Linked DNA regions of Notamacropus eugenii. The protein of the gene in region 1 purifies or fractionates together with the protein of each later gene. This does not show direct contact. Links are inferred from orthologs where the notes say so. Each region holds a gene or a part of one and is shown on either strand. Other genes may lie near its edges.

Region 1 (15,844 bases):
TTCTCTTCCCAATTTTTGCTCTACTTCTGTTACTTGATTTTCAAAATCCTTTTTGAGCTCTTCCATGGCCTGAGAACAATTCATATTTTTCTTGGAGATTTTGGATGGAGGAGCTTTGACTTTGTTGTCTTTTGTTTGCATGTTTTGGTCTTCCTTGTCACCAAAGTGAGATTCCATAGTCTGATTCTTTTTCCTGTTTTTGCTCATTTCCCCAGGCATTTACTTGACTTTTGAGCTCTTTGTCAATATAGATCTCTGTTTCCAGGGGAGGTTGGGAGTGTACTGTCAGCTGCTTGATTCCCCCACAATTTGTGGGCCTAGAGTTCTAGAAACAATCGCTGCTGCTGCCCCTGCTGCTGCTGCAGCTGCCACAGGTTCCTCTGGCCCCTCCCCACTCTGCTACCCTGGGTCTGGGACCAGAGCACTCCACTCTCCCACTCTGAGTCCAACAGGCTTTTCCCAGTGACCTTCCAATTTGTCCTCAGTGTTTTGGGGTTGTGAAGTCTGGAAACCACCACAGATGCGAGATTCAGTCCCCCTGACACTTACTCAGGTCCCATCTCTGGGACCAAAATTGTACCCATTTTACATTTGAGAAAATTGAAGCAGACAGAGGTGAAGTGACTTACCATGGTCTGAGGCTGGATTTGAACTTGGGGCTTCTTGACTCCCTATTCCCAGTACTCTATTACATGATATACAGTTTAGTCTAAGTTCACTGTTTAGAGTTATGCACCTCTTTTGGCCTGACAGAAAATGTTTCCTATATACAGCATATTATGGGGTTATGATTTTGAACCCACCCTCCAACTGTAGCACCAATGCCATATTCATAGCACCTACAGCAGTCACGAATATCCTGGCACACTTCTGAATTGTGAAATACAACAGACTCTCCACAGGAAAGACAGAACCAAAACATTAACTCAGACAACGGAAAGCCAAGTCCATCATAGTAACAAAATCTGTACACAAGAACAAAGCAGAGAACAAGACCATCCCCAAGCCTTCTCCTGCTAGGCATCCCACAAACCAGCTTCCTTACACAAATCACAAACAAGCTCTTTCACTCACACTAGCTAGCTGGCTGCTTGCTTGCATCCTTCCTGGCTCTAACTGCTCTCTGACCAACTTCTCCTCAGCTCTACTCTAGCTCCTCCTGTTCCTCCCTTCCTGCTGCACCCTTTCAGCCAACTCCTCCCTCCACAGACTCAAGTCACTTCCATGTGATCCGAGCAGGTCACATAGGCTTATTAATGAATGGAAAAGATCTTCCCAATTAAATTACCATTATACCAACCCATTTTATATTTATGGAGTAACACTGTCCCACTTACATTTAATATTTAAATGGTTGGATGGGACTTCGACCAGACCTGGCATTTCATCTATAGAGTGAAACTCCCTCTGCCAATATATATGAATGTACATTTGCAACCATTCTGCAAGTCATACCCTTGGAAAGTTTTCTAAGGGTGATTCTCTAATTCAGTGACTCACTCAGGGTCACAAAGACAGTGAGCATCAGAGGTAGCACTTGAACCCAGGTCTTCCTGATTCATAAGCCACCTTCCTATCCACTATATCAAGCTGCTTCTCTTTGTCATCATTCACTTTGTTGGAAGGAAAGCTAAAATTTTTACATTATAAAATATGTAAATAACTTGATCTCTACCCAGTTTTCCATTAATACCACCACTCTCCAGGCTCTTTCTGGTTCATGCAAAAGCTTACTGAAATTCTTCAGGTTATATGGCAAGAGGAGGTTATCCCCCACGATTTCAAGGATGCTTCCATTGTCCATCTCTACAAATGTAAAGGAAATAGGTTGTCCCGTTCCAATCACAGAGGGAGTCTTTCTTAGTCATTGCTCGCAAGATTCTTCCCAGAGTCCTCCTATTTGATTATCTACCTGAAAGCCAGTGTGGCTTCAGAAAGAGCCAAGAACAGTTGATATGGTGTTTGCTGCCCAACAACTACAGGAGAAATGCCAGGAGCAGAACAGAGGTCTGTACACAACGTTTGTAGATATGACCAAGGCCTTTGACACTGTCAGTTGTGAAGGCTTGTGGAAGCTCATGGTAAAATTAGGTTGTCTGGAGGTGTTCATCAGTACTGTATGTCAGTTCCATGACAGTGTGCTTGCTTGGGTTCTAGATAATGGATGATGTTCTTGTGCTTTCCAGTCACCCATGGAGTGAAGCAGGGCTGTGTGCTTGCTTCCACACTTTTTAGCGTGATGTTTGCTGCTGTGTTGTCAGATGCTTTCAGTGAGGACAAAAATGGCATTAGGTCAGCTACCAACTGACTGTAAATTATCTAATTTGAGAAGGCTACAAGTCAAGACTAAAGTGGAAGAAGAGTTGGTGTTTGACTTTTTGTTTGCAGATGATTGTGCACTCAATGCAGCCTTTGAAGCTGAGATGCAACAAAGTATGGATCAATTCTCTGCTTCCTGTGCTCATTTTGGCCCAACAATTAACACCAAGAAAACATTTCCACTAGCCAGTACCACATCATCCATACATGGAACCATTGGTTACAACAAATGGACAAATATTGAATTCTGTAGATAAGTTCACTTACTTTGGTAGTGTACTTTCCAGGGATGTACATATTGACAATGAGGTTGATGCACGCATTGCCAGAGCTAGCTCAGTGTTTGGGGGGCTCCAAAGGACAGTATGGGAGAGAAAACGTTTTAGTCTGCCTACTAAACTGAAGGTCTACAGAGCCACTGTGCTGACCTCATTGTTGTTGGCCTGAGAAATCTGGGCAGTCTACCAGCACCATGCCAGGAAACTGAATCACTTCCATTTGAATTGTCTTAGGAAGATTCTGAGGATCACCTGGCAGGATAAGGTACCAGACATTAAGGTCCTTACCCAAACTGAACTGCCAAGCATTCAAACTCTACTACAGAGAGTACAGTTCCAAAGGGCTGGCCACGTGTTTGAATGCCAAAAGTTGTTCAAATGCCAAATTTATATTTGCTAAAAGACTTTTATGAAGAACTCTCACAGGGCAGATGTTCATTCTTGGTCAGAGGAAGTGATACAAGGACACTCTCAAGGTCTCTTTTAGGAACTTTGGAGTTGATTATGTGACATGGGAGACACTAGTATAGGATCACAGGACTGCCCAGCACAGTGTGCCCACATCAGAAAGGGTGTTGTGCTCTATGAGCAAAGCAGAATTGCAGTAGCTTAAAAAAACCCACCAGATATGCAGATTTAGAGACATCACCACTCTGAATGTTCACATGGACAATTTGTGTCTGACCTGTGGTAGAGCATTCCAAGCTCCTATTGGTCTGATCAGCTACAGTTGGAGTGGACACATTGTAACTTGACCCCAACATAGTGATGTCATTTGCGTTCTCTGTGAGAAGAAAGGACAACAACCTACCAGCCAACCAACTCTTCTCCCTGCCCCTCCACCCCGCCCCCTCAGGGAATTGGGGTTAAGTGACTTGCCTAGGGTCACACAGTTATTAAGTACCAAGTGTCAGAGGCAGGATTGGAACTCAGGTCTTCCTGACTCCGGGACCAGTGCTCTCTCCACTGTGCCACCAGCTGCCTCTTGCTCCCTACCTTTTAACAATATTAAGAAAACACTTTAAAATGATCCTGCCTGAAACCTTGGGAATAATCTGAAAGAGAACCCTCCTCTATCTCTCTCAACCATCAATTCCAGGACCAGAGAAGAGCCAGGACCCTCTGACTGATTTATCTAAGAACAGCTCGCTTTTCCCCCATGCCCTGAAGGTGTTAGGATAAGGGTCAACCCTAAGATGCTGCTTTGATGACTTCAGTTAATAGATTACTTGAGTTACTTCAGTTCATTTCACCTTTGGCCAGCTGGCAAGGAGAAACCTTGGAGGGAGTGGTCAAAGAGGAGATGAGTGGTTTAAAGAAATGATTCTCCAACGGTGAACTATTGTCCCATTTAATGAAGCACCCTGTTAACTGACCTGTTACCCAATCTTTGGAGCCTTGCTCAGTTTTAACTGTAGAATATTCCTCTGTTAAAAATCTCTGCCATTGGGACTTCAAAATAGAAGAGAGATGTGTGCTTGAGGTCCTAACGACTTGGGCAGAGTGGATATTTCATTCTCAAAGCAGATCAGTGCTTGCAGTTGAATAATTGGAAAGCATCATTGCCAATTTTTTTGATTAACTCATCAGATTAGATAGATCTGCATTGTTTTTTACTGTTGTGCAGCTGATAAAGAGCTCTTAGCAGACATAGGAGAAATGTCAGCTCTTCCATTGTCTTTCTGTAAAGGAACTGGCCTCTCTGGCCTGAGCCAGTTGGAAGCCAGGAAGGCGTGGCTGGCCAAGGATCCCAGTCCTCACAAGTGCAAGTGGAGTGCCCAACTCATGCTGTTCCCACAAGGAATGTGCACCGCACCTAGTAGGTGAACTAGAGCCCCTCAGGCTGGCTTTGGCTGCATCAGACTCCAAAGGCACCAGGTGGATTTCATGTTCGTCTGATCTAGGGGACAGACAAGGGCCAAGGTTGAGTCCTGCACCCTCCCCAACCATGTGGTCCCTGAAGGCAGATGTAGGCTTTTGCTCATTCCTTCTAGGTGACCTGAGCCAGTGAAGGTCCAGAAGCAGAGTCTATGCAGCTTTGAGGCACTGACCAGGGAGCTGAGGCCAGGGAGGTGAGCACTGGGGACCCATGCACTGCAGCAACCCCACTGTGGATGAGCGCGGTCCTTGGGATGGGGGAGAGTGAACCCCTGAGGTACAGGGGAAACCTGCCATTTCCCTTCTTGCTGTATCTTCAAAGCAAATATCCCTTCGTCAAAGCTAATTGAAGTTAATCGGTTCAATAGACTCAAGGAGAGCCTCTCTTGAATGCAACCCCAGTGAATGGAAGCTCTGGGCTACAGATTTAGAAAAACAAAAACACCTCAAGGCTTGGGGTGCCCCAGGACCCTGAGGGGGAGTGTCACCATCCTAGCCCAGGCCTGATTGGCCTCCCTGAATCAGACCTCCCCCGAAAAAGTCCCTTCTGAGCTCTGAGGTTTGCTGCCTGGAGGACTGAGGAGAGAACTTCAGGACACAGCTTAGTATCAGATTTTTTCTTTTTTCTTTCTTTTTAATAATACTTTGTTTTTCCCCAATTAAACATAAAGACAAGTTTTAATATTCATTTTAAAAAGTTTGGGGTTCCAAATTTCCTTCTTGTTTTCTTCTTCCCCTCATCTGAGCAGGTGAGCAGTTTGGTAGAGGTTATACACGTGCACTCATGCAAAACATATTTCCATATTAGTTGTTAGAAAACAGACCAAAAAAAAAAAAAACAACTCCCCGAAAAAATTAAGTGAAAAAGAGTTTGCTTCGGTCTGCATTCAGACTCCATCAGTTCTTTCTCTGGAAAGAGGTGGACAGCATTTTTCTTCATGAATCCTTTGGAATTGTTTTGGATCATTGTATTCCTGAGCTAAGTCCATCCTAGTGGATCTTCCAACAGTGTTGCTGTTAATGTGTACGATGTGGTCTTGGTTCTGCCCGCTTCACTTTGCATCAATTCATGTTAGTCTTTCCAGGTTTTTCTGAAATTATCCCAGCAGTATTTTTTTAAAAAAATAAGTTTCTATGGCTATTTTCTCTTTCTTGCCTCACCATAGTATCTCACGTGTCTCTCCCTCTCCCCCTTTCAGAGAGCTATTCCATATGACAAATAGTATTTTAGGGGAAAGGAGAGCTCCAGCCATGTGTGAGACCAGGGGACCTCCACCAAGAGGCAGTCTTCTGGTCACCGTTCATTTTGGATTTTTTGGGAGGGGTCATTCTTTGCGCTCACCTTGATGGAGTCGCCCAGTGCCTGGGTGGCAGGGCTCTGATGACCGCTAGTCATCTTCTCCGCTCCTCCTCTGCCTTCCCGCCCTGGAGTGGCACTCGCTGCAGCATCCTCTGGGACCACAATGGGTGGGCCTGAGGCTAGGCCCTTCCCAACAGATGGGCCTTGACTTTGGTCCCAAAGTTCCACAGCACATTCTCCCCTGGGAAGAGGATCGATGGGGGGGAGCGGTAAATGCCCGTTTGCACAGGCTTTGTCCTTGCTGTGGGCTCCCAGGAAACGCTCCTAGGGAAAAGCTGGCAGATTCACCTCCCCAAATTCACCCCCAAACCAAGAACTCACCCCAAAGGGTTGCATAAATGCTGCGCTACTATCTGTTGGGGAGACCACGGCAGGGATGGGACAAAGGGGTCCATCTCCTGGCGTGAAGGACTCTGAGCTGTCCAGTCTCCCCCCTTCCCCGTCCCCAGGACCCAAGGGGGCACAATCAGGCCAGGACGTCGGACTGAGGGCGCTGTACACAGCAGGCACCTAATAAATGCCCACGGACTCACGGGAGGCCAGGAGGTGTCAGGAGCTCCAGGAAGAGTCGGGACCAAAGCAAAGGGGGGGGTCTCCCTAACTGTCCGCCGCCTCGGGGTGGCTGGTGGGCAATCATGAAGACCCAAAGAAAGGACCAGACAGACCCTACCCTCAAGAAGCTCCCAGTGTACCCCAAGATATCCGGAGAACCAACCGAAGGAGGCGGTACCAGACGGAGGGGGCGGGACTCTATGCCTCGCCCCTCCCGAGCCCTGCCCCCTAAAACCCCGCCCTGTTTCGCGGGGGGCGGGGCTCGTTCTCCTCTTCTGAACCCTCCTCCTTCCCTCGAGCCGTGTGCACCCGCCTACCAGTCGGGGGCGGGGCTCACTTCCCTTTCCCCTCCCTCCCCTCCCCTCGGGGCGTGTGCGCCCGCCCTCCAGCCCAGGGGCGGGCTTCTTTCCTCTCTCCCCTCCCTCCTCCCCCTCCGCCCCTCGGGGCGAGTGCGCCTGCCCACCAGCCCGGGGGCGGGGCTCATTCCCTTCTCCCCTCCCCCTCCGCCCCTCGGGGCGAGTGCGCCTGCCCACCAGCCCGGGGGCGGGGCTCATTCCCTTCTCCCCTCCCCCTCCGCCCCTCGGGGCGAGTGCGCCTGCCCACCAGCCCGGGGGCGGGGCTCGCTCCCCTTCTCCTCCCTTCACCATCCGTCCCTCCTTTCTCCTCCCTCCTCCCTCCGCCCCCTCCCCCTTCTCCCCCGCCTCTCCCCTCCCCGCCCCGCCCTTCCCGGCTGGGCCCGCGGCCCCGGAAGGAGGCAGGCGCGGCGGCAGCGGCGGCGGCGGCCGAGGCGGGAGGTTACGCACCGAGGCAAGACGTGGGCCCCGCCGCGGGCCGTGGGCCGTGGGCCGTGGCCGGCGCTGGAGGCGGGGCCGCGGCGGCGGGTGGGACGAGCCCTCGCTGCCGCGGCGCTGATCCCGAGCGACCGTGACCGAGACCGTGACCGTGAACGGTGAGCGGGGCCTGGGGGGCGGGAGAGGCACCCGCTCGGAGGAGGGAGATGACAGCCGCCGCCTGGCCCGCAGCCCGGCCTCCCCTGGCCCCCGCTCTGCGCGAGCGCTTATTAAGTGCCTGCTGTATGCGAGGACCGGGCGGCGTCCGCCGGGGCCCTAACGGAGCCCTGGCTGCGCTATGGATGGGGGCGTGCCCCGAGGGGCCGCCGGGCGTGTGGCCCCTAGGGCGGAGGGCTGAGGTCCCCGGTGAGACACTCCGCCCCCCAGCGGCGGGGCCTTGAATGCCGGCTTCAGTGGGACCCGGGCAGGAGGGCCCGGCGCTCCCCCGAGGTGGGGGGCCCCGGGCAGCTTGTCCCCCCACCGGTCACCTCAAACAGAATACGGGACCGAGCTGGACCTTGGGCAGGGCCCCGGGGTCAGTGACCAGGGTGCGAGCCAGGGCACCGATGGCAGGTGGAAGGTGTGAGACTGTAGACAGTCGGTGCTTAATGCTTGGGCTCCTGTGGTCAGTCCCATGTCTGTGGAGGCGCTCCGGGACCATAGCCGAGCCAGGGTCAGTCTGACCGGAGCCATGGCTCAGGCCGGGTCAGTCTGCTGTGGCCGGGGTGGCCCGTCCGGGGTGGTTCAGCCTGGCTGGCCCGTCTTGGGTGGCCCGTCCGGGGTGGCCTATCCTGGGTGGCCAGGCCTGGGCCCAGCGCCTGGGGCTGGGCCCCTTCCTGGACAGTTCTGGCTCTCTTAGCTTACAGAAGCAGCACCTGTTGCTCACACTTTCAAAGGCTTGGAGGTTTGGCCTTAATCAGAACGGAGGGTCCTCAGGAGAAGCAGCCCCAGAGAAAGGCCTGGTGGCTGGCTGAGGCCTGTCCTCTCAGAAGGAGCCCACGGTCATTGATGTCAGGTCCATCTCAGATAGAGAGATGCCGAGCAGATGAAAGGGGTGGACTGGGAAAGAAGGGGAGTCTGGGGGAGAAGGGCAACATGCAGGGGAAAGAGGGAATTCCAGGTGAGTCCTGCACCAGCCACCTTCGCTGAGTCAGGCGGGATTTGAATGCAGGTCTCTCTCCAGCAGGCCAGGAGGAGGGATGGGAGAATTGAGACCTCTCCTCTGGTGTCCTCTGCTCTGCAGGCCAAGTTTGGGGTGCGTTGTTTGAGGAGGAGGTTGGGGTAGTCTCCAAAGGAATGACAGAAGTGGATCCGTTTGTTTCAGGACAATTGCCTGAATATCTTAGGAGTGAAGATTGAATCTAGGGACTGTGGGTGATGAAGATCCACTCAGTGGACTTCTATTGAAAAAGCGTTAAGCATCCCCCCTGTCAGGCCTCGCCCTAAGCACTGGGGATAAAGACAAAGACAAAAAACAACCATCCTTCCCTACAGGGAACTTATACTCTAGTTGGGAGAAAAAGCCTTGATATAGAAAATCAAACATAAACCATGTAAAGAAGAATTAAAAAAAAAACCAACACAACAATTTCCAGGGAGGAGAGCACAGGTCTAATATGAAGGACAATTCTGTGTTTTTTTTAAAAATTACTTTTATTTTTTTCATCAACTATTCCCCAATTACATGTAAAAAATTTTTAACAATCATTTTTTAAAATTTTGAGTCTCAAATTCTTTCCCTCTCTCTCCCACCCCTTCTTCCTCCTTGAGAAGCAAGCAATTTTATTTTGATTATACGCTGAGCTCATGCAAAGCGTATTTCTATGTTAGCCATGGTGTGAAAGAAAACACATGCACACACACACACAGAATAAGAAATCAGGTTAAAAAAACAAGTCTGCTTTGATCTGCACTCAGAGTCCATCCGTCTGTGGAGGAGGAGAGCCTTTTTGGGATTGTCTTGGTCCAGTAACAGAGTCTTTCACAGTCGCTAACTTGCAGTGCTGCTATTTCTATGCAGTGTCCTGGTTCTGTTCGATTTGCATATGTTCATATAAGTCTTCCCAGGTTTTTCTGAAGCCATGAAGGACAATTTTGTTAATAAGAATAGGTTTTCTTTTTAAAAAAATACTTTCAAGTTTAGCTTCAATAAGAGATCATTTTCATGTACAAAGGCTAGAAAAGGGGGGAGTGCAGAGGAATGTGAAAAGTAAAACAGAGAGTGGGAGGGAGACCTCTGTCCCGGTAGCCTTGAACATGGGGTCTTTACTGTAGCCATGGTCAGATTCTCCAAGAAAGTCAGGAAGTGGAGGAGCTGAAAAGACAGATGACTGAGGAGGATCCTGGGGCCTGGCTGGGAAGTCACAGGCTCTCATTCTCCGGTCCCTTCAGCTCACACTAGTTGTGGAAAAGCAGTTCAGAGAAACGTTTCTATGAACTTGAATTTTCCTTGTATTATTAGCTGCATTGTTTTGGATTCTGGAAGAGCTGGGGCCAAACCTCCTGTCTGCTGTGTGCTTCCAGAGTGCCTCTGGGCAGTTCTCTCTTAATTAAATCACAGGTCTGGGGCACAGTTCTCCCCCTAAGAAACAACTCAGACTCTTTAGAAGATTTTTTAAATGAGTGTATGGCAGCGTCTTTACGACCGATGGAATTACAGCCCTCTATGGAGGAGTTGGGTCAGCGAAAGCATGAACAAAGTATGCAAGGCTTGGGGCATCTAGGGGGCGCCATGGTGCTTAGAGTCGGGGAGACTCCTCTTGGGGAGATCAACTCTGACCCCAGACACTTGCTAGCTGTGTGAGCCTGAGCCAAGTCATTTCACCCAATTTGCCTCCGTTTCCTCACCTGTAAGGTGGGGACAGTAATGGCACCTATCTTCCAGGGTGGTGAAGATCAAATCTTTGCAAATAACGTGTTACACAAGTGCTATTGTCGTTGTTATCCTGATTTCCAGAGCAGTGGTCTGGACAGGTCTGCTTTTGTATCTGCACAACTAAAATACCACAGAAATCAGCTTTGGTTTCGTCCCTTCCCACCATATGGAATCCTGGAATTGGAAGACAAAGCCCCTGAGGAGCTGAATTTTCTGGACAACAAGGTTGGTTATCCAGCCTCTCCTTCGATATCATTTTACTACCCTTATTGGAGTGAAAACAACAAGAAAAAATGCACAGACAGGTGGAAAGTCTCCAGAAGACACCTGACATTTGGCAGAGTACAATTCTTTTCCTTTGTGACCAAATGGAAGACGTCTTGGCTGTTGGAAGGCTGCTAGTGAGCCCTCCATGACTGTCCCCCCCAGCTCTGCCCCGGCTCCTCTTCTACGATGGGGATTCCAGCTAGCTGCTTCCCAAACTGCCCTGTTCCATACCATAAGAAGACATGCCCAGTCTGTGACTTTCAGAAGAGCCAGCTCTTGTGGCTAGATGTGCCCCATTCGGGCTTTTCTCCATCGTCTTCTCTCCATGGCCTCTTAGGACTGATGGGGCCCACTGATTTCTCCTAGCCTCGGCCGCCAATTTCTGTCTTTGCCCGCATTGCCTTTGATCATTGTAAATTGCCGGTAACCTCATTTTAATGTGCTTTTCTCTAGGCAGTGGAGAATTGGAACAGCTCCTTGGTGGGATCACTGGGAATCTCATGAACCAGTCTGCATTCTCTTCAAGAGAAGACAGGCATCAGTTAATTTTTATTTAATTCTTCTCCCATGATTTAAGGGTGTGTTCCCTGTGAGCTCACAGAAGTAGCACTTTGGGGACATATGCCTGTGTCACCTGTAACCTGTCAGGACAGACTGAACCAAAGTCCAGGGGACCATTTCATATTGGGAAGTTTAAACAATGATTCTTTGGTAAAGTTGACTTCTTCTCTCATTGTGTGTGCACAGAGCCAAGCACAGAGTGGATGCCTTCTTGTCAAGCACTTGCTGGTAGGTTGGTGGCTGTGTGGGCCTGTGACTGGGAGCCCCTCTTGCTGTGATCGGGCAGATGGCCTTTTTTGGTGACTGGTGACGTTTAGGATCAGTCCAGTACTGCGTTTTCTTCATTACGCTGAAAATCAGAGAGTTTTCCTTCCTTCTTCCTCCTGGGGTTCTGTACTTTGTGCTGCTGTCTGCCTGGGGAGATCACACACAAGAGTTTCACGGTTTGTTTTGCTCTAGTTTTTGATGCTTCTGCCCCGATGAGAAGCAGCAGAGGCAGAAAAGGGGCAGCTCAGATCAGTGGGGCTGACCTAAACCCCAACCCCATTGCAATGAGACTCCGCTTTCATGTCTGTGATCTGCTAATGGGGTCACCACTCAGTGGCAATGCCCATAACTTCTGTGCTTTGTTTACTCCAGTTCTTGCCCAAGGACCTTTTCATGTGCTCCGGATCCAAGATTGCCTAGTTTGGGGTGGCCCAGGTTTGGGAGATAGGGCTGACCCTGTTAGAACCAAGGGTGGGGAAAACCAGCTGACAATCAGAACCTTCCACTTTTCAGAAGGCTCAGTGGTTCCCTTTCATCATTAGGGGCAAGTACCCACATCTCTGCTTGGCATTGTTTGACTGTGTCCCCTTTTCCAGGGTACTTTCACATGTATTTAAGATTCCAGCCAAAGTTCGACCTGCAGAGTTCACTGTTCCACAGCGCATACTAATAAGGGCTACCAGTGCCTTGACCCCAAAGCACATTACACAGTGCTTTAAGGATAGCAAAGCACTTTACATCTTCCTTTTCTCATTTCATCCTTACCACACCATGCTAAAGTGAGGGCTTTATTATCTCCATTTTATTGATGGGAAAACTGAGGCAGACCTGGCCAGGAGACTGGATTTGAACTCAGCTCTTCCCAACTCCAGGCCCAGCAGTAGCCTCCTTCAGCTCATTCCATTTTACAGGCTGCCCTCCATGCCTGGCATGCTCTTCTCTTCCCCTCTACCCTGGAGATCCTCAGGCCTTCGCCTCAGTGACCCCTCTTAGGGAGGCCTTCCCCATGCTCTGCGTTCTCTCTGCCCACTCTGGGCCCTGGCACTTAGGTATTGGTGAGCATTTCATTGTCTCTGGCCCCAGGGTTGACGACTGTCAATGCTTCCTGAAGGCTGTGTGTACGTCTCGTACGGAGGCCCCAATAGAAGGGCATCTTCTTGGGGGAGGTAGAGCCCGCTCTGGTGACAGATTGTTGGAGTGTATTTGTCCCTGCCTCTCCTCGGCTCTCAATCCATACTGGACACCCCATGGCCTTCCTGCAGGATGTAGCCTGAGCTATAATTCCTCGCTTCTCTTCTTTTAGGTCAACTTTAGGGACTACAAGCTTTGTGTGGGTCACTTAAGGTGACACTGGTGGGGCACCTCCACCGTCCCCAGTCAGCATGTATTTATTAAACCCTTCCTCAGTGCCCAGGACCCTGCCAGGCCTCAGAGATACAGAGATGGAAGAGAAATGGCTTCTGCCCTCAGGACAGTACCAGGGGCAGAGTAGAGGTCCTGTGATTTCCTGGATGCCAGGACCTCCCATGGTAGGGCCTGAAATCTTTCCTAAACACATGCCATCTACTTTTCGCCCCATTGCTCTGGCCAGGATCCAGGACACCCTCTGTCCTCTTTGTAAGATGCTGCCAAGACGGCCCCTCTTCACCCTGCCCTTCTGTCCTAACTGGGAGAGGGGGCTCAATTCATACATCTCCTCATCTCTCCCAGCCCCTCCTGAGCCCTCTTAGGCCCCCCTCAGCCTGCCTTTCTACTCCCTTTTGTGTGTTGTCTTCCCCCCATCTGATTGTAAGCTCCTTGAGGGCAGGGACTGGCTCTTCCTTTACATTGTTCCCTCAGCTCTTAGCAGGTGCCTAATTCATGCAGGCTGACTCAGGTCAGACCTGTGCTGGGCTCCTTCATTTGGGACTGGGACCATCCCCAGCTACAGGAGGGGAGCCATGAATCTTCAGCCTTTGCTCTAACTCTTTATAACAAACATCAGAGACCTCGTCATTGTGGGCTCTGAGATGCCCAGAATCCTCTTGAGCTCTGCTGGACAAGGGCAGGTTTGAAGCAGGGTGAGCCTCCCTAAAGGCAAGCCTGAATGTGAAAAAGACCGAGTTAGAAGCCCACTGTTTGTTTTCCTGAGGCACACAGTTGGCGCCACTCCGGGATTCGGTTGTTGAGATGTGCAGAGAGGCACCCGAAGAAGGGAGGCCTGCCTTGTCTTGGAGGAACTGTGCAGGAGTTTTGCCAGCCTGACTCACGCTGGCCATTGGATCATTCCAAGCTTTGTGCTTGAAGTCCAACATGTTGGGCCAAAACTAATTGTCCTTTCAAAGTTAGGCTTCTGTTTTCGAGCCCAGGTTTTCTAAACAACTGTTTAGAACCTAATGTCCCTGTAATATTCCTGCCTCCTCATTGTCCCAGCAACCAAGAATAGGATTTCTTTGCATTCACCTGGGCTTCCAGAAAGGAGAAAAATTTCAAAGATCCTACACTAGGTCCCAAGATTAACTTCACAAGTACAGGAATGGCAGGGGGTCAGGTGAGCAGCTGCTATCACTGCTTGCTGGGAGTCAGTTGGGTGAGAAGGCAGCCTTCTAGACTCAAGGACATGGTGATAGGCTAGCTGCTTGTCCTCTGCTCTGGTAGGCCACATGCAATCAGTTCTGGGTCCCTCACCCTGAGGTCTTAGAAACCTCAGTGACTCTCAGAGCCCAGCCTGAGCGTGCTCTTCCACCCTTGAAATGACCTTTTACATATTTTGTATGAAAATGGCTGATGGACCTGTTTCTCCCCCCACCCCACAGGCAACTATTGGAAGCCAGAGACCACTTGGTTTTGTTTTTTTGTACCCTCAGTGCCTGGTGGCATGTAGTAGATGCTATATAAATGCTTACTGAGCTCAGAAGAGGGCAGCACCTGGCATGTGCAGGAGCCTTGAGTGCCAGGCTCATGGTGATCAGTGGAAGGAACAGGAATGTTGATAATCCCCCCTTCCCCTCACCCCAGAGTATGAATGACCCCCCTGTGGAAGAAAGAATGGATGTGTTTTGTTTGTCCCTAGAACAGGAATCCTGAACCTAGGGTCCTTGGACCTTGGATATTTTCAGGGGCACCAGAAGTTGGATGGGGCAATTAGGATTTTATTTTCACTACCCTAATTGAAATTTAGTTTTTTCTTTCTTTTTTTTTTTTTAAATTAATTAATTAATTTGTTGTTTTTCATTTTTAACATAGTTCATATCACATAAAACAATTCCAACTTTTGGTCAGGTGATACTTCTTTTAAAGCATTTACAATAGAGACCACAAATGAATTTTTTTTTACATTAACCAACTGAGACACAAATAATAACTATGTGTGCTAACTTCACAAGCCTTGACCTAATTGTCTCCACACTGTTACTGAGAATTAAAGGACCCTAACTTATTGTAGTTGGTCTGAAGTCCTACGCCTAGTAGCTTAATTTTAGACTTAGCCTCGGATGTTCCCCTGCCAACAATCTATAATTTAATGGATCTGGTATGAAGCTTACAAACCTTTTGACTATAGGAAGTTGCCACTAAGAGTAGGCACACTGCAGGGAAACAATATCTCCCCAATTTCATGTCAATTCCAGACCGGAGTAGATTGTCAGCTTGCATTCAGTCAGGCTTAAAGTCTGCCAAGTGTCAGTGAGGAAATTAGTCAGGAGAATCCTACCTCAGCCCAAGCTGAACAGCCGCTCTCCCGCCCGTCCCATGAGATCACCTTTTGCAGTTCATAGCAGCATCGCACAGGCTTACTGGCATCATGGAGTGGAGGCTCAGACCACCTTTCTTGCTATCCATACCTCGAGTTAGACTCAGAAGAACAGTTAGTTAATAGTCCCATAGAATCTTAAAATAGCAAGTTCCAATAACCAGGTTTCAGATGTGACTATAATTTTGCATTGGTTAAGGAACATCTTTTGAGGCAAGTCTTAAGTGGCTTCCATGCCTTTCTATACATGTTCTAGTTCCTGATTAAATTACAATCATAAAATCAAATTTACGATTAAAACCTTAACTTTTCCATGAATGCCAAATTTTACCCAAGGTTACCTGCCTCTAGAAAACTTAAACTAAAATTCTTTTCCCCAAGCTAAAGATATCTCTGATTTAGTCTCAGTAATTAATTCAGTCAATTGTTTTAATACTAATTGCATTCACATCACTTTGTAACATGTCCAATTTTTCTCCCCATTTCTCCCCTCTCCCTAGCCCCTAATACCTTGCATTCTGATTAGCCCTTCCTTCAGTGTACCCTCCCTTCTATCACACCCCACCTTTCCCTTATTCCCATCTTCTCTCTTTTCCTGGAAGGCAAGATAAATTTCTATACCCCATTACCTGTGTTTCTTATTTCCTGGTTATATGCAATAATAATTCTCAACATTCGTTTCTAATACTTTGAATTCCAACTTCTCTCCCTCCCTCCATTCCCACTGAGAAGGCAAGCAATTCAATAAAGACTAAATATGTGTCGTTTTGCAAAAGACTTCCATAATAATCATGTTGTGTAATACTAACTATATTGCCCTGTATCCTACTCTATCCCCCCTTAATTTTTTATTCCCTCATTTGACCTTGTCCCTTCTTGAAAGTGTTCATTTCTAGTGACTCCCTTCTCCCATTTGCCCTCCCTTCT
Region 2 (16,212 bases), on another chromosome or scaffold:
ATTTAAATGTCTTACAACAAAACCTTCATTGACATGGAAATGTCTTATGTAAAGTAAAAACATTTTTCACATTTTACCAACATCTTAAAATCTTCATGAAGTCAAATCTCCTTTCAGTAACTCATATTCCAAAGATTTACTGAGATGACAATAGAAGGAATCAGTATATATTTCAGTTGACTTATGGGAGAGGGAGAAAGAATTAGAGAGATGTATAACATATAGAGAAATATTACTGGCATTACTAGGAATATCTGACTTCAAAACTTCCTCTGACAAGTACTGCCTAGGTAACCATGGACAATCTGTTTAACCCCTCAGCGTCCCCAGTAAGTTATAAATGAGTTCCCTATCTGAATTGGTGGATAGAGTTTCCACAACAAGAATTGTCAGAGGTCTGGATCACATGTACATACACACACACACACACACACACACACACACACACATCAATGGAAAATATCCCTGTTGTGTCTCTGCAGAATATATTTTCTGTAGTTACTCAAAAAGATAGCAATGGCAGTAATCATTTTATCTTTGTAAAAATTACATGCAGCAATGTCCATTCTAAAATTACTGATCATTGTGATCCAAAGTTTAGATTTTATCTCCTTAAGATAGTGATGAAAATAGTTTTCTTCAGCATTTTTATCACACAATATTTAATGTCTTTGAGATATGATGTTATATTTACTCCATGGTAGCCTGGTACTGATTGACAACACAATTTTAAAAGGTTCTTATTCTAGATATCTACCAAAAACATCACTTTCCTATCTCAAATGGCATTGCCATGTGTCATCGATTTTTTTACATAGACCTTTACAGGAGTAAGCACTCTTTAAAACCTACACAAATGCACATGTGTGTACAAACACATGCGCTCATGCATGCATATACACACACACACTAAATGTTTTCATTTTTTGTCCCTACTTAGATTGTCAATCTAAATTGACATGAGGGACTTTATTTGCCCCAGAGTTCCCTACACCAGTGAAATCACAGGTCCAATCCCTTTTCCTATTCCTTAGATTCAACTTATTTTCCCTCTTTGTTCCTCCCAGTTCAGGAGAATGAACAAGGTAACATGTACCTCACAAACATTTTAAGCTCATTGAATTAAAGCTGAAGTTTTAGCTTTACCTTAATTTGATTTTTTTTCAGATTTGTGACACAAGTTTAATGTTTTTAGACTTCATTTTGCAATTCTTCACCTAGGTTTCTAATTAAATATGCTCAGGACTCCATTTAGAATTGGCCATTCTCTGCATTCCTCTTGATTAGTAGAACAGAATCAATGTGAATTGATCCAATTTGTAGAACACAATTCTCATATTGATAGTGGTTTATATTCATTTGCTTTGCCCTAATCTTTTATTAATGGTCGTCCTGGAAATGTCATTCCCTCTGTTGCTCAAAAGCATTGCAGTCTGAGATATAAAAGGATCATTGGATCAAAAGTTTAGATTTCAGAGGGAGCTTAAAGATACACTGGTTCAATTTCTCATTTTATAATTGAGAAAACTGAGGCCTAAGAAGGGGACTTGTCCAAAAACACAGAGACAGAAGTAGAGTTGGAAATAGAACCCAGGTCCTCTGTATTCAAATCTAGTTGTCTTTCCCCTCTGCCACATTAATAATATTAATCTATCAAAGAAATAGATTAGATGCAGAATATTCTGCAACCAAAATAAAAGAAAAAAAAGATGTGTACAAATGTGAATATAGATATAATGTATCTATAATGTGTGTATATGTAATGTATCTGTGTGCACATGTATGTATTTATAAAACTGTGTAAAACAAAAATATAGATGAAAGATGAAAATTACAATAAAAAGGTCATCTCAACTGTCATTATTTTTTTAAAAATAATAAAGACAGGTCTCAATTAGTGAGGATAGTGAATTCTACTGTTCCCATAATTCAGATTCACACTATCCAAAGCTATAATTATATATAAAATATGGTCATTAATTCCAACCCAATAGAAATATGAAGCAAAGATTCAAATAATATGACCACTTCATCAGATTCATTCATCAGACTAATGGGGACCTCACTGCAGATGTTGCTGCATGCATTCCTTAAAGTAGGTCAGGGGATTTTTTTGAGGGAGGAAGGCTGTTTGTTTTGAGTCTAGAAAATTGTCACAAGAGGAAAGTTTATTTATGGACCTCATAGAACTACAGTATTTTAGAGGTGCAAAGTATCTTAAAGATCATAAAAAGATGGTATGTGGTTATAATGGAATACTATCACACTGTACAAATCATGAGCTGGATGATCTTAGAAAACCACAGATAGACATATAAAATAATGGTGAAATGAGCAGAACCATGAGAACACAATATACAGTAACAATGATATTGTTTCAAGAACAGCTGGGTAGGGCTCATGATAGAAAATGCCATCCACATCCAGAGAAAGAATTAGGGAGTCTGAATGTAGAGAGAAGCAGGTTATTTTTGTTTGTTTGTTTTGTTTTTTTGAATTTGTCTTGGTCTCTCCCATTCATGTTCTACATAACATGAGTAATGTGAAAATATGTTTGATAGAAATGTATAGGTAGAACCTATATCAGGTTGCAGGCTATCTTGGGGAAAGAGAGAAAATTTGAAGCTTATGGAAGTGAATGTGGAAAACTAAAAATAAATAAATTAGTTAAAATTTAAAAATGAAAAAACAAAAGAAAAAAACAAAAATAAAAACCTTGTAACAAAAAAAAATTTTGAGTGACTAAGTCATTTTGTCTATTATAAATACCCAAATTAACTACCAAAGACATACAAAGCAAGACTATCTGAATCCAGAAAAAGAAATGATAAATAGAAGTATGAATAGAATGATTTTGTGTGTGTGTGTGTGTGTGTGTGTGTGTGTGTGTGTATCTAAATATATCTATCTCTAGGGCGGGAAGGAGAGAGGTAAGAAAAAAGGGGAAGAATGAAAGTTACATGGTAACTTTATTATATATTTAAAAGGAATAGCTAATTGTTCACCATAGAGTTGACCAAACAGCTAATTAGGATCAGTGATTGGAAGAAACAGTCCAGTTTATTTTTAACATGCTATAGGAAGCTTCAGGAAATACATCTTCATAAATGTAATAAAGTCACAAAATCTCATATTATCCTAAATAGTATTGTCCTTTGTTCTTGAAGAGGACCAAAGTGACATCACTATATTACAGTCAAATGACAGTGCGTCCACCTATGACTGATCATACCAATGCAAGCTTGGAATGCTCTACCACAGGTCAGGCACAAATATGCCATATGAACATCTGGAGTGGAAATGACTCTAAATTTGTGTATCTCACTTTTCTTTTGAGCTACTGAAATTCTGCTTTGCTCATGGAGCACAGACCTTTCTTTGATGCCAGCATCAAAGCCATGCTGAGCTGTCCTTTGACAGTGTCTCTTATGCCATGCAATCAATTCCAATGTTCTCAAGAGAGATCTTGAGAATGACCTTGTAATGCTTCTTCTGACCACCATGTGAGCACCTTCATAAAATAGTCTTTTAGGCAAGTGTACATTTGGCATTCAAATAATGTGACCAACCCATCAGAATTGTCCTCCCTGCAATACAGTTTGAATGCTTATTATCCTAAATATGATAGAGAGACTATATAGAATTCAGACTGTAGAGAACACAGAGAAAATAATTATACTGTTTCAGGTCTTATGCTAATAAGTTTGAGTTTTATGAGATTCCTTTAGATTTTAGGACATGAGCAGATAGTCACCTAGCCAGGCTCTCAAACATTTCCAACACATCACCTCATGCTCTAACCTGCTATGAAAATTCCTTTGCAGATAACCTTCAGAAAACAACAATACCAACTTGCTACTATCTAGACAACTGAGGCAAATGAAGATTATGTTGAGTTCTAGAAGGCCTGGGAAAGGGAGGATCCTGAAGTTTCTAATCACCTGCCTACAGCAGCAGACCTATTTACATAAATTGATACTTTACCTGGACCCATTTCTCAATGGCCCTCATATTCCCTCTAATTCTCCTAATCTCAGTGATATTTAATACACTATTGTTGAAGAAAAATCTCCTTGCCCTACCCCTATTCAGAATGCAAGGCATTTAAAGTCTGGTTCAAACTTCCTCTGTCCCTAAGACTTGCTTTCACACTAGAACATTTCAACATACACGTTGATGATCTCTCAAATACTTTATTTCCCAGTTCCTTAGACAAACTCAACTAACTCCTATGACCTAATCCTTTTAGCTACATGCACAGATGATCATACAATCTTACCATCACCCATGTGCTCCACTTCCATGTCCAAGAACTCCATAATTCAATTTTCTAGTCACAATCTTTTATGATTCCATTTCCATTTTACTTTTTCTAAACATATTCATCATCCACTCCATGACTGCTAAACCTTCTCTTGCTCAATACTTTTCATAGATATCCTTACTGTGATGATATTCCCTTCTCTTACAAATCTTGACCTATTAAAAAAATAAACTGGGAAGTCCAAACCTACTTCCACTCTTGAATCTTTTATTCCACTGTCTATCGCTGCTGACACTTTTCCAAATCCAACACTAGATTATTCCTATCATTTGCTTTTTTTTCCTGTTCAAAAGGTTATTAATGAAGGTGCTTGCTGAAGTCATAAACCATACTGATTGAGCCCATTGTTAATATATGCTATTTAAACTCCCCCTGGGATCTCATTGCAACAAAGCAAAGCTTTGACACTTCCTTTACCAATTCTGAATCTCAGTTATTATTGTGACTGCTCCAAACATTCTTTCCAGACCTACACAGAAACAGAAACTCTCTCTCTCTCTCTCTCTCTCTCTCTCTCTCTCTCTCTCTCTCTCTCTCTCTCTCTCTCTCTCTCCTCCTCCTCCTCCTCCTCCTCCTCCTCCTCCTCCTCCTCTCTCTCTCTCTTTGTGTCCCTTTTTCCTCCTCTCTCTCTTCCTCCTGAATACTTCACCTCATGCTACACAAAAGAAGTCATTTGCTCTTTGCATTGAAAAGAGCTTTTTGCTTTCTTGTCATTTGCCAGTGCTCCTTCTGATTTCTTTCTCTTCCTCTCACATCCTTTTTATATCACTCCCTATGTCTACCTTCATTTTCATCTCTGATAGCATTTCTCTTTTCCAAGGGCAATCTTGCTCCATATCTGGCACGGTACATGTAAACATTTCTATATATACTCTTCTATGCTGTATCGAGTGATCCTGAGGTAGTATGATTATCAGGGATGTGCTTTGACCTACTGCTCAACTGAACCTGGGGTATTTTATTACAAATTATTTTGTTGTAAATGATAGTATCTGAAAAATTCTCTTTTCATTACTTTTCATTATATTAGTTCCAAAGTCTAACCCAGAGGTAAAAGTTACTTTACGTGGGACATAGTAAAAGTTATTAATTCACGAGATTCTCTTGGCTAAGAATGACCCAAGGCATTTTCCTGCCAAATTTTACTTGTCTATTCAGGCTGGTTAAGATTCATTTCTAAAATCTGGACACATCAAGACTATACACGTTATAGAGAATTGCACATTGAATAATTCTTTGACTCGTTAAGGTTGTCTATCTATAATCTAATGCTGACAAGCATTATCAGCATTTTCTGTAACTGAAATTAAAGTAAACCGTTAGAGTTCACTTATAATCTAAATGCAATGAGTCAAATTTTAATTTAATTTAATTTGTTTGGCAGTCAATAGTTGAAAGAACTGAAAGAGACTAGAAAATTGGGAAAAGAAAGTGCCTTCAGTTTCATCAATAAACAAAAATTATAAATGCCACAATGCTTTTATATACTTCTAGGAAAGAAGAATTTATCTTAAATACTTGTGTTTAAGCTTGTTGAACACTGAATACAAAGGAATAATAGCAAAGCAACAATACTGTTTCTTTCTGAATCCCATGGAAATAGATGAAAAGGATGACAACATGATCATCACCATCATTGCCATATGTATACCACCTTACATCTTGCCAATGCTTCATGTGCATTATTGCATTTAGTTCTAAAAACAGCTCTGATGGGTAGTACATATATTGTACTCATTTTACAGATTAAGAAAGTGAGGAACAAAAAGAGATTAAATGACTTGCCCCAAAATGGCTGTTAATAATTGACCTAGTTGATTTCAAAGCTAGGATTTCTGATTACAAATTCAATATTCTTCCCACTAGACTATAGCAGTCTTTATGAAGTATAGCGTGACTAATGGCTAAAAGACAATTCTAGACATATAAAAATAATTTTATAAATACTCATTGATTACCATTTCTCTTTTTTCTGTTCCCTTTTCCAGACTATGATCATGGAGTAAACTTCTAAATAACTAGGGTCAAATGAAGGACTGTAGGAGAAAAATCCAGTTTTTAGTGGGTCTACACAAGTTGAATTCATATCTTAATTAATTTAGCTGTAACCTACCTCCTCCACTATTGTTACAACCACTTTATCTTTGGCTGGGTACAATAGCTTGGCAGTAAATATAATGAAACAAGATAGGAAAAATGTTTGTATCTGATTATATTTTAAAATTCTATAAACTTATTTAGTTTCTATTAAATTTACTATATTTATATTTAGATAATTTGAAGTTTATAAATGCACATATAGGAAACTGTCCCAGAATGGTCTGAAAGTTGCTTTTCCTTATATGGTTTATTTTCAATTACAAAAATGACTAATCACTGTGAAAAAAAGAATGCCATATATTAACTTTTAAACATCTGAATTCCTGAGTAAGTAGTGTTTGCTCCTTTAAAAGCCACATTTAAATGAACACCTGCCATTTGTCTTTTTAAACCAAATTCTTCTATTTGGATAGTCTGCCCACCAAGAATACTTATTTGTGGCATAACTATGCCAGTGAGATCCCTAAGTACATGCAAAAGAAAAAAAACTCACTCTGCTTTACTGATGTGATTTAAAACTCAGGCCCAATCAGCACATGCATACAAATAAGTTACTAATCTGAAGGGGCAGACAAGTCTCTGCACTGACTTTGGGTAGTTTTTTTTAATGACATCCATAATGTTCACCATTATTGAGATTAAAAAAATGAATGGACTTATAAACATATTTTTCTCGGTGTCTGTCCTAAACACAGATGTAAATTTCTTTATTATTGTTAGCATTACTTACATCAAGTAAATTACATGGCATGGGCTAGAGATAGAGATATTGACCAGCTAGAGTATAGAAAGTGGATTTGGTACATAGCATGTTTCATTTTCTTCTGAATACATGATGAGACTCTTTAAGTGGTTCAGGGGGTAAGCCAACACTTATAGGGACCATTTAAAAATGGAATGGCATTAGGTATTTAATCTTTGGACCTAAAATGAATTTCTTGCTTAATGCTTTTAGAGAGGCATTAACTAGTTTTACATCCTGCCTTATTGAAAAGAATCATTTCTTCCACAGTGAACAGCTGTGCTTCCTCCTCCAGTGCTTAGAAATCCTTGTTAGATATTGTGTAAGGATTGCAAGGAGTTCTTCATCCTTAATGATCAATTATTTACTATGTAGTTCTCTTTTTAGTAAGATGTGTGCTTTTTTTATCAGATCTAAAACCTCATATCAATAATGCACCTATCTATATTAATTGTATTTATCTGGAATAGTAGATACATTGTGGCTAATAATTGGGCACTGAATAAATAAAATTTTGGTAAGTTTTGAGCATATGTACTTTCTTTACTCTGGATATTTGATTAGTTATTTCTCCTCTGAAATTTTAAGAAACAAAAAATGAGTTTGCCAGTTTAAGACTATTAAGGAAAAGCACTCCAAACATACAAGAACAAGCAAGAAAGAGAAAAGAAATTATTATCTTGTACAAACTTTGAGCGCTGTGTTTTGATTTTACTTACCCAAATTAATTGAAAACTTCTTACTCAAATTAAATGAAAATTAACATCCATGCATTAAGCTCAGTAAATATATGGAGGTCCCTTAAAATATTAAACTCTTGCCTTCTCAAAGATGTGATCTTGCCCTTTTTCTCTGTGCCTTCTGAAGAAGGTATGTCACTTTTATCAGCCCTTCCTCTCATTTGACAAGACACTGTTTCACTCACACTTTTAGACCACTATCCCCTCCCTAAAAGAGGTAGTCCCCTGAGTCTGTAATTGCCAGGAGATGAAGCGATGATAGGGAGTGATCACAGTCAATAGCTTTGATTAACAATAAGGTAGAAAATTAGCAATGCTAGCATTCAGCTAGACTGCCTTCTCTTCCCCATATGCTCCCCACAGCCTGTGCTGACTGCTGCACAGGAGGTAGTCGGAGCCCTGCACAAGCTTTGAGTTACAGCAATGGTGCAGCAAAAGACTATTAGGGGAATCCAAGAGTGAACTGGAAAAGGCTATAGAAATTATAAATGATGGCAGTGAAATTTTTCCAGAGTTTGATATGCCACAGAAGATGTGAGGATGAAGTATGCTGTATGTTATCCCTGTGTGTCTTTCTGGTCTATGTGGATTTACTTGTGTCTGGACATATTGTGATGGAAATGGCAACTACTGTTACTACTGTGACCCCATCAGCAGCTCTGGTGTTGTTTCCGACAGACTCTGAAGACCTAGAGAGGGGGACGGACAACGGGACACCACTCCCCACCTCTGATAATGATGACAATTCGCTGGGCTACACAGGTAGAGTGTATCTTTCCAAAATATTAATAGTCCCATCTCTCTTCAAACTTCATCAGTCATCAACCACCTGTATAAAATTATTTAAACATCCCTACTATTAATAGCTCCAGCAAGAAATTGTGCTGTGGTACTCATGCTTTAAAATTCATCCAGTAACCTGGAAATAATGATGCTGAAGGAAACTATTTAGAAAAACTACAAATGAAGACTATGTTTATTCTTACTTAGCATTTGTTTTGGTTACTTGAAAAACAAATGATGATCAGGGCGAAGGTTTTTTACTGCAAATATGTTTGGGAGAATAGCAATTTGCAACATCATGCAAACCTTTGAATAAACTGGAGCAAATAAGAAAAAAGAAAAGTTTATATTAAGAATCATTTGCTTTCCAATCAAAGTCATCTATACATTTCTTATTTATTGCACTGCTTACTAACATCTTAATATTGTTCTTTGCATGACTAATATATCCTCTAAGTGATACCATATCCATGAACCACTTCTTAAATATATATGTACACAGACATACACATATGTACACACGTACATAACCAATTAACTCACTAAGTTCATTGAAAAAAGAACTAAATGTCTTTAAAATGAACATGTATGAAAGTGATATGTTTACTTTTCTGTGAAGTATTTTTCAGTACAGTGCTAAAAGTGAATGGGAAATAAGACAACCTTCCTTGTTAATTTAGATATGGACAAGCCACAAAATGTAACTTGTAACTAAGTGCATAATTCAGAAATAATACTATCACAGTCCTATTGTTAGTAACAAACTGTATTTAATCCAAAATTACCTTGTTGTACTTTGCAGAAGTACTTCTTGGAAGGGTTCTCCATAGATTGGATAGCAATGAGAGAGATAAATGGCCATTATTAATATTACTACTATTATTCTGGTAACCATATGAGGTAAAGAGAGAAATACAATAGTTGAATTTTACTTGAGAACAAAATAACAGTATTATTTTACAAACATCTTCATTCCCTTCATGGAAACATTATTTCAGTATCCCTCGAAAGTTGAGGTTTGAGTCACTTGATGTCATGATAAAATACTTCACATATTTCTTTGTGTATACTTTTTTCCTTCTCACAGAAATCACCATTTCTCATCCTTTTTTAGTTTTTCTCCCAAAACATAAACTGAATCTTCATTTGGGGAGTACATTCTGCAGGTCTTCAACTAGAATCTTCAGAAGTTCTAAATTCTACTTCTTAATGTTATTATTATAAGATAGGTTCATATTGATAGAAGTACAGATCAAAAACTATTATTCCTTACACATATTTTGAATTTCCTATATATTAGCGTAACTAATTTGTGTTCTTCTATTCAGAAAAACTGTATTATCTAGTCACATTCAAAATATTTCTTCTTTCGCTGTTATGGGATGTCCACAACTTGCATGTGGGCAAGGTAAAACTGAATTAAGACAACTTAAAATTGTATTAAAACCTAAAAGTAACCTTTTCTTTATTGCTATTAATCATTTATTCTTTCTTGTCATTCCATTTAGTTCACTGAAATGGAATCAATCAGTTATCAATATTTATAATCTTAATACAAAGAATAGATTTATTCCTTATAGGTGATGAACTTATGGAACTATTTACTCAATATTCTGTCAAGTGACTTATTTAAAACAAGGCCAATTTAATGCAATGTGATTATAAAATAAAGTTATAAATTACCCTGTATCTGAGGCCAGTAATTACTTATGATAGGCCAATAGTAAAAAAATGTTTATTGAATTTATACTACCACAGTCAATTTTCAATTATTCAGGGACTGATTGTTCCAGAGTAAGCTGGCTATACCCTATCTTTCTCCTTCTCTTCCTTTCCTTTTTCTCCTTTCTCATTACAACCTCCAAAAGAATAGAAAGTGAAATGAAATAGAGGTTAAACTTAAGCTGCTTTCTTTCTTTTTAGAGGGTAGAGGAGTGGCACTATCCCTTACATGTGATAAAAGTTGCAACAAAAGATACAGAATAGACTATGAGATGATAGCGTTTTGTACAAGTAGTTCTGACTTTCTATAAATTTTCTTTCCTGGGAGAACTCTTTTAACTATACTCACAAATGATTGAGTTGGCACTCTCTGTGTAGTACAGACTGTATAATGGCTCATGGACAAGAGTTGGGGATAATTAACAGTATATATGGTTGGTGCATTGTTAATTTTTTAAAATAAGAATGTTTTTAGCAAGTCACCATGTATATAGAAGCAACATATCTCAGTGTTTAAATTTAAAGTTTGTAATGAACCAGCAAATACACAAACAGTTGTTAGATCTCTGATATTAGTTAGCCATAATGACAATGGCTCATGAAAACTAATTTTTAAAAACATAGAAATTCTGCTTATGCTCCTGTATTTCTAAAATAAGCTTGTGGAACTTCCATATTTTACCTTCTTTTTTGTAAACATTCTTCCTTTCATAAATCTGACTTCTGAGGCCTTTCTCACTGTCCTTCTCCCCCAAAGTCCACCATAATGGTTCACAGAGTCCAAAGGCAAAAATAAAAGCCTCCCGGAGGTATTTTTACAAGCTAAGACAAACATCATCCCAATCAATGAAAACCTAACAATCCCCAAAAGAATAATTTCCACAGTTTGCCAAATTCTGTATTCATTCTGACCAATTTTCCTTTTAGCCTCATCACTAAAAGTTTGTCTTTTTCACATATGTTTTTCACTACAACACATGCTATGGTCACCAAGCTACATATAACCATGACTATCAAATTTATCCATTCAGATAAAATTCATAATAAGCACATGACTTCATAATTACATATAAATGTCTTGATTCTTTACATTAAGGTATTAATATGCCTTAATCAACACATGTCAACTTATAAATTGAATTCTTCATTGCTTTTGATCATAATTTTGTAGTAATATTTATAGAAATTTCATCAGTGTTTACATCGTGCCTATATTTAGGTGAAGTGCAAGGTAGAGGGACCAGAAGGGTAATTTTTGGTGATTTAGAATAGGAAGTAAAGATTGATTTCCTTTAAGGACTTATATGACCTGATGCTGAGTGAAAGGAGCAGAACCAGGAGAACTTTATGCACAGCAACAACCACAGTGTGTGAGAGTTTTTTCTGGTAGACTTAGATTTTTGTAATAACACAAGAACTTCTGAAAAAAAAAAAAAAATCCCAATGGTGAACCTCAAGGCAAAAAGCCTTCCACACTCAGAGAGAGAAATATGGAAGTCACTCACATAATGTAGCAGATCATGTTTGTGTATGTGTATCTGTTTGTGTATCATGTTCTGATTTGTTATACGGATTCTTTCATTTATCTTAGTCTGACTACATAGCATGACGATAGTGAAAATATACTCAATAGGAAAGTATATGCAGAATCTATACAGAATTGTATGCAGTCGTGGGGAGGGAGGGAGGTAGTGGGGGGTGGGTGGGGAGGGATAAAATCGCAATTGTATGGCAGTGATTGTTAAACATTAAAAAAAATAAAAAAATTAATAAAAAAAAAAAAAAAAAAAAAAGATTGATTTCCTTCCCCACATACACACATAGCCATCATCCTCCCACCACCTACAAGTATGACTCTCTCAAAGCTGAATGGCATTAAAGTGTTGCAGTATCACTGAGTAGTCAGTGATGGCAGACATTGCTAAGATGATGGCACGATGTTGCTGAAGTGTATTTGAAAGTTATCTAAAAACAAGTAATATATTTCCTAGCTGATGGTTCACAGAATACAGCTTCAGGTGCAAAAACAGATAACTTTTTAAAATGTTATTTTATAGGATCAAGATCATGTTCCAAAACACCCATAATAACTGCTAATCAATGGAGATATTTTAAGAAGTCTTTTTTTTAATAGCACATTGTTTATAGATTGCTACTAAGCATACATATTTACCACATAGTTACAACTCATACAACTATGAGAGAGGTGAAAGGTGTGAATTTAAATAGTGAGATGTTTAAATGTCAGTAACATAGCTATATTTTCTTTACAGACGACCTTCAAAGCTTTTCTTAAGAGTATTGAATTCAAGCTGATATTGCCATAGTAAGGAAGAAAATACTAAAGAAAGAAAGAGAGAGTCCTGATATCACACTACCACAGTGGAGACATATACATAGAGCCTCAAAATCATCAGCCTACAGGATGTCTAGAAATCTCAGAATGAAGCATTATAGTTGTCTATTACTGTTGAGTTCTCTCTCCTTCCCCACCCTGAACCCCTGTCACCCCTGCATAAGACAATATGCCTGTTGGTACGGTAGGCATTTGTTTTAGGGAGATAGATTGTACTCCTTACATGTTTCATACTAACTAAACATTTTAGGTTGGATTAAAATTTCTATTCATCCTGCTGCTGCTAAAACTTAGAGAAATGTAATTTATGTATAGCAGAAAGTCCTAGAAAGTACCCAAGGGGGAAAAATAAATTAGCCCATTTGGATAATCCATAGAAAAGAAAACACTAAATTTACCTGAGTAAACAAGAAGACTCAGGATGATATTGAGCTATTGAAATATCAAGACGTCTTGCTTATGATTAATAGGAGTGATACTTGACTATTGTACCTATGATTTTATAGCTATAAAATAATGAAAATTATTTACTTTAAAGAATTTGAATTTTCTCTTCTGAAAGTAAAAGCAAATTGAGCTCAGACTGATTTATCTTTCATAAAAATGGAAAAGGAGCATGTTTTAAAAAATCAAGGCCTATATATAGAAAATAACATACTTTATGCTTATCTTTACAAGAAGATTTTAGTCAATGCATTTCTTTGCTCTTATGATTATTAATAATATCTCTCAAAAGGCTATAGAATACCAAATAAGAAGCTACATTAAACTAATACATTTAAGCCACTTGGCAAAAGAGGTATACCAAAGGAAAAATCAACTTCACTTGCTTTATTTTTAAATGACTAAATTAACATTCCTCACAATGTAGTTTTCTGGGGGATATCCTCATTAGTATACAGGCTCTCCAATGATTCAATGAGTAAGAGAAATCGAGAGTTAAAAGCATCCTCTGTAGACATATAGTCAAATCCGTATGAAAAAGGCTTCCGCACTGTAACATACCTGGCATGTGCTTGTCCAGGCTCAGAAGACTGACAGTGAGAGTACCAATCCCTACTCCAAGTGGCTCCTTCCACTCTTAGCTCTAATTGTTAGAAAGCTTTTCCTCACATGAAATCTAAATTGGCCTCTTTGCAACTTCCATGCATCGTTCCTGGTTCTGTCCTCTGAGTCAAAATGGAAAAATCTCTTCTCTCCTCCACACAGTAGGCCACTAAATACTTGAAGGTAGAATATCCACCTTAAGCTTCCCCTTCTTGTGCTAAATATCCTCATTTCCCTCTGTAACAGTCCCTTCCCTGGCCCCCACTCCATAAAAGTCAGGTATGTTACATTTCACTCCTCCTCCAGGGTGCGCTAGTATTCTTAAGGGGGTCTAGACTCTTCTCCTGCACCCAGAAGTGAAAAAGACAAACAAAGTAAACCAAAATCCCAAAACTAATTATTGGGGCCACAGAGCCTAAACAGAGAGCTGAAAGATGACCCTTCCCCCACTCCCACCCACCTTAGTATATAGTACCCATACTGTGGGTGAACCAGACTTGAACCTCTAAATGCAGCAGTGGAGAGAGTTTGAGACTGTACTAAAGACACTATACAGCTGATGGAAATATACCACTCCCACCCATATGGTAAGGGAACACAGGATTTATGTTCGCCAAAGCAGGTCCCTTGTATCTCCCATAAGGATACCTCCATCTCAGTTGACCTGCAAGGTTCAAAACCTGATTACTCTTCAATCAACTCTTTTATGGCTTGAACTTAAGACCTTGACCAAAGTGTTCTCTTCCCTCTGGACACTCTCCTGCTTATCAATATTCAGCTAGTTTGCAATGATACAGCACTGTCCAGCTAAAACCAAATCAAGACATTGCTACAATTTAGCATAAACAAGGCACAATGGCTTATGATGGTCAACTTGTAATACATAGGTTTCCTTTTAGATACAACATTTCTACTTCTACATTGATTTTTTTTACATCTTAAGTTCCTGCTTGCTGGCAGCAGGCATACAAAGACATTAAGTCCTTAAGTCAAGTTGAGAGTTGAATTGATGGATTAAGTATGAATCAAAAATATTATCAATGCAGATTAAAGAAATAAATTTAATCCACTTCTCTGTACTCTCATTTTCTTCTTAAACATTTAATTTAAAGGGAAGCATTAGACGACAATTGTGGGAATAGCCAAATGTATAACAGGGATTTAGGTACTGTTTGAGACCATCTAAATGGCCCTCAAAAAGTGCACTTACCCTCTTGGGAAAATTTAGTGATGTAGGGATGATTATTATCAGTCAGTCAATAACCATTTATTAGGAATGTACTCTGTGTCAGAAACTACACTAAGTGCTGGGGATAAAAGTAAAGTCAAAAGCACAGTCCTTGCTCTCAAGAAGTCCACATTCTAACAGGTAATGCATCATGTAAATAATTATATATCTATAAGATATGTACAGTACAAATGGAAGAGGGTCTCAGACAGAAAGAACTTAGGACAAAAGAAGAATATCAGGAAAAGTGCCCTGCAGAAGGAGGATGTGTGCTGAATCTTAAAGGAAGCCAGAGAAGCTAAGTCAGAGGTGAGGAGGGAGAACACTGCAAGCATGAAGGACTTCAATGAATACAAAAGCAGGGAGTCAGAAATGGAGTGCTGCGTCAGAGGAGTCACCACTAGGTCAGGAGTGTATAAGGGTAGTAAAGTGCAAGAAGACTAGCAAGAGTCCTGGTTTGAAGACAACATGGCAAGTTATTCCCTGGGCCTTACAGCCACGGAGTCAGGCTGTTACATTTCTACTGCACACAGCTACGTGGCACAGTGTATAGAAGGCAGCACTTGGAGTCAGGAAAACTTGAGTTCAACTCTTGCCTCAGATACTTGCTAGCTATGTGACCCTGGGCAAGTCACTTAACATCTTTAGTCCTTAGTTAACTCATCTGTAAAATAAGGACAACAAAAGCACCTGTCTCACAGAGTTGTTGTGATCATCAAATAAGTTAGCATATAAAGTGTTTGGAAGCTATAAAGTGCTATACAAACGCTAGCTATTTTTATTATTATATCCTCTTTGGGATCATGGGATATCCCCCAAGGACTAGGGTGTCTTTGGTTAATACCATAGGCTCAAGCCCCCATTTTGTTAATGATCATTAACAAGCATCTCATTCTCATTTAACTACTTAACATCAATTAGCTTTTTAAAATGTTATTTATTTGGAAGATATAAGTGAAAAACAGAAAAGTGCAAACATTTCTCCCTCTACGCAACATTTCAAGGCAGTGTTCTCCATGACACTACATCTATCTCTGAGGAAAGTGGGCCCTGACTTAAAGTGGTTTCTATTTGGCATTGATCCCACCAAGTTCATATCCAAATTTGGCATTCCCACCTGCTGCAAAATTCGGCATGGACTTCACTCTCACACCTCAGATTTCCAGACTC

Evidence for each region.
Region 2: the proteins of USP33 (region 1) and ROBO1 purify together in Homo sapiens (affinity purification with western blotting; 5 studies listed by BioGRID and IntAct, with this or other methods). This does not show direct contact. The link is inferred for Notamacropus eugenii from reciprocal best matches to the Homo sapiens genes USP33 and ROBO1.

What each region holds. Positions count from the first base shown.
Region 1 is NC_092873.1:538,960,994-538,976,837, reverse strand, and holds the start of USP33 (ubiquitin carboxyl-terminal hydrolase 33), read left to right. Parts: upstream 1-7,097; 5' UTR 7,098-7,336; intron 7,337-15,844. UniProt on the Homo sapiens protein: Deubiquitinating enzyme involved in various processes such as centrosome duplication, cellular migration and beta-2 adrenergic receptor/ADRB2 recycling.
Region 2 is NC_092877.1:178,223,705-178,239,916, reverse strand, and holds the start of ROBO1 (roundabout homolog 1), read left to right. Parts: upstream 1-8,382; 5' UTR 8,383-8,394; coding exon 8,395-8,668; intron 8,669-16,212. UniProt on the Homo sapiens protein: Receptor for SLIT1 and SLIT2 that mediates cellular responses to molecular guidance cues in cellular migration, including axonal navigation at the ventral midline of the neural tube and projection of axons to different regions during neuronal development.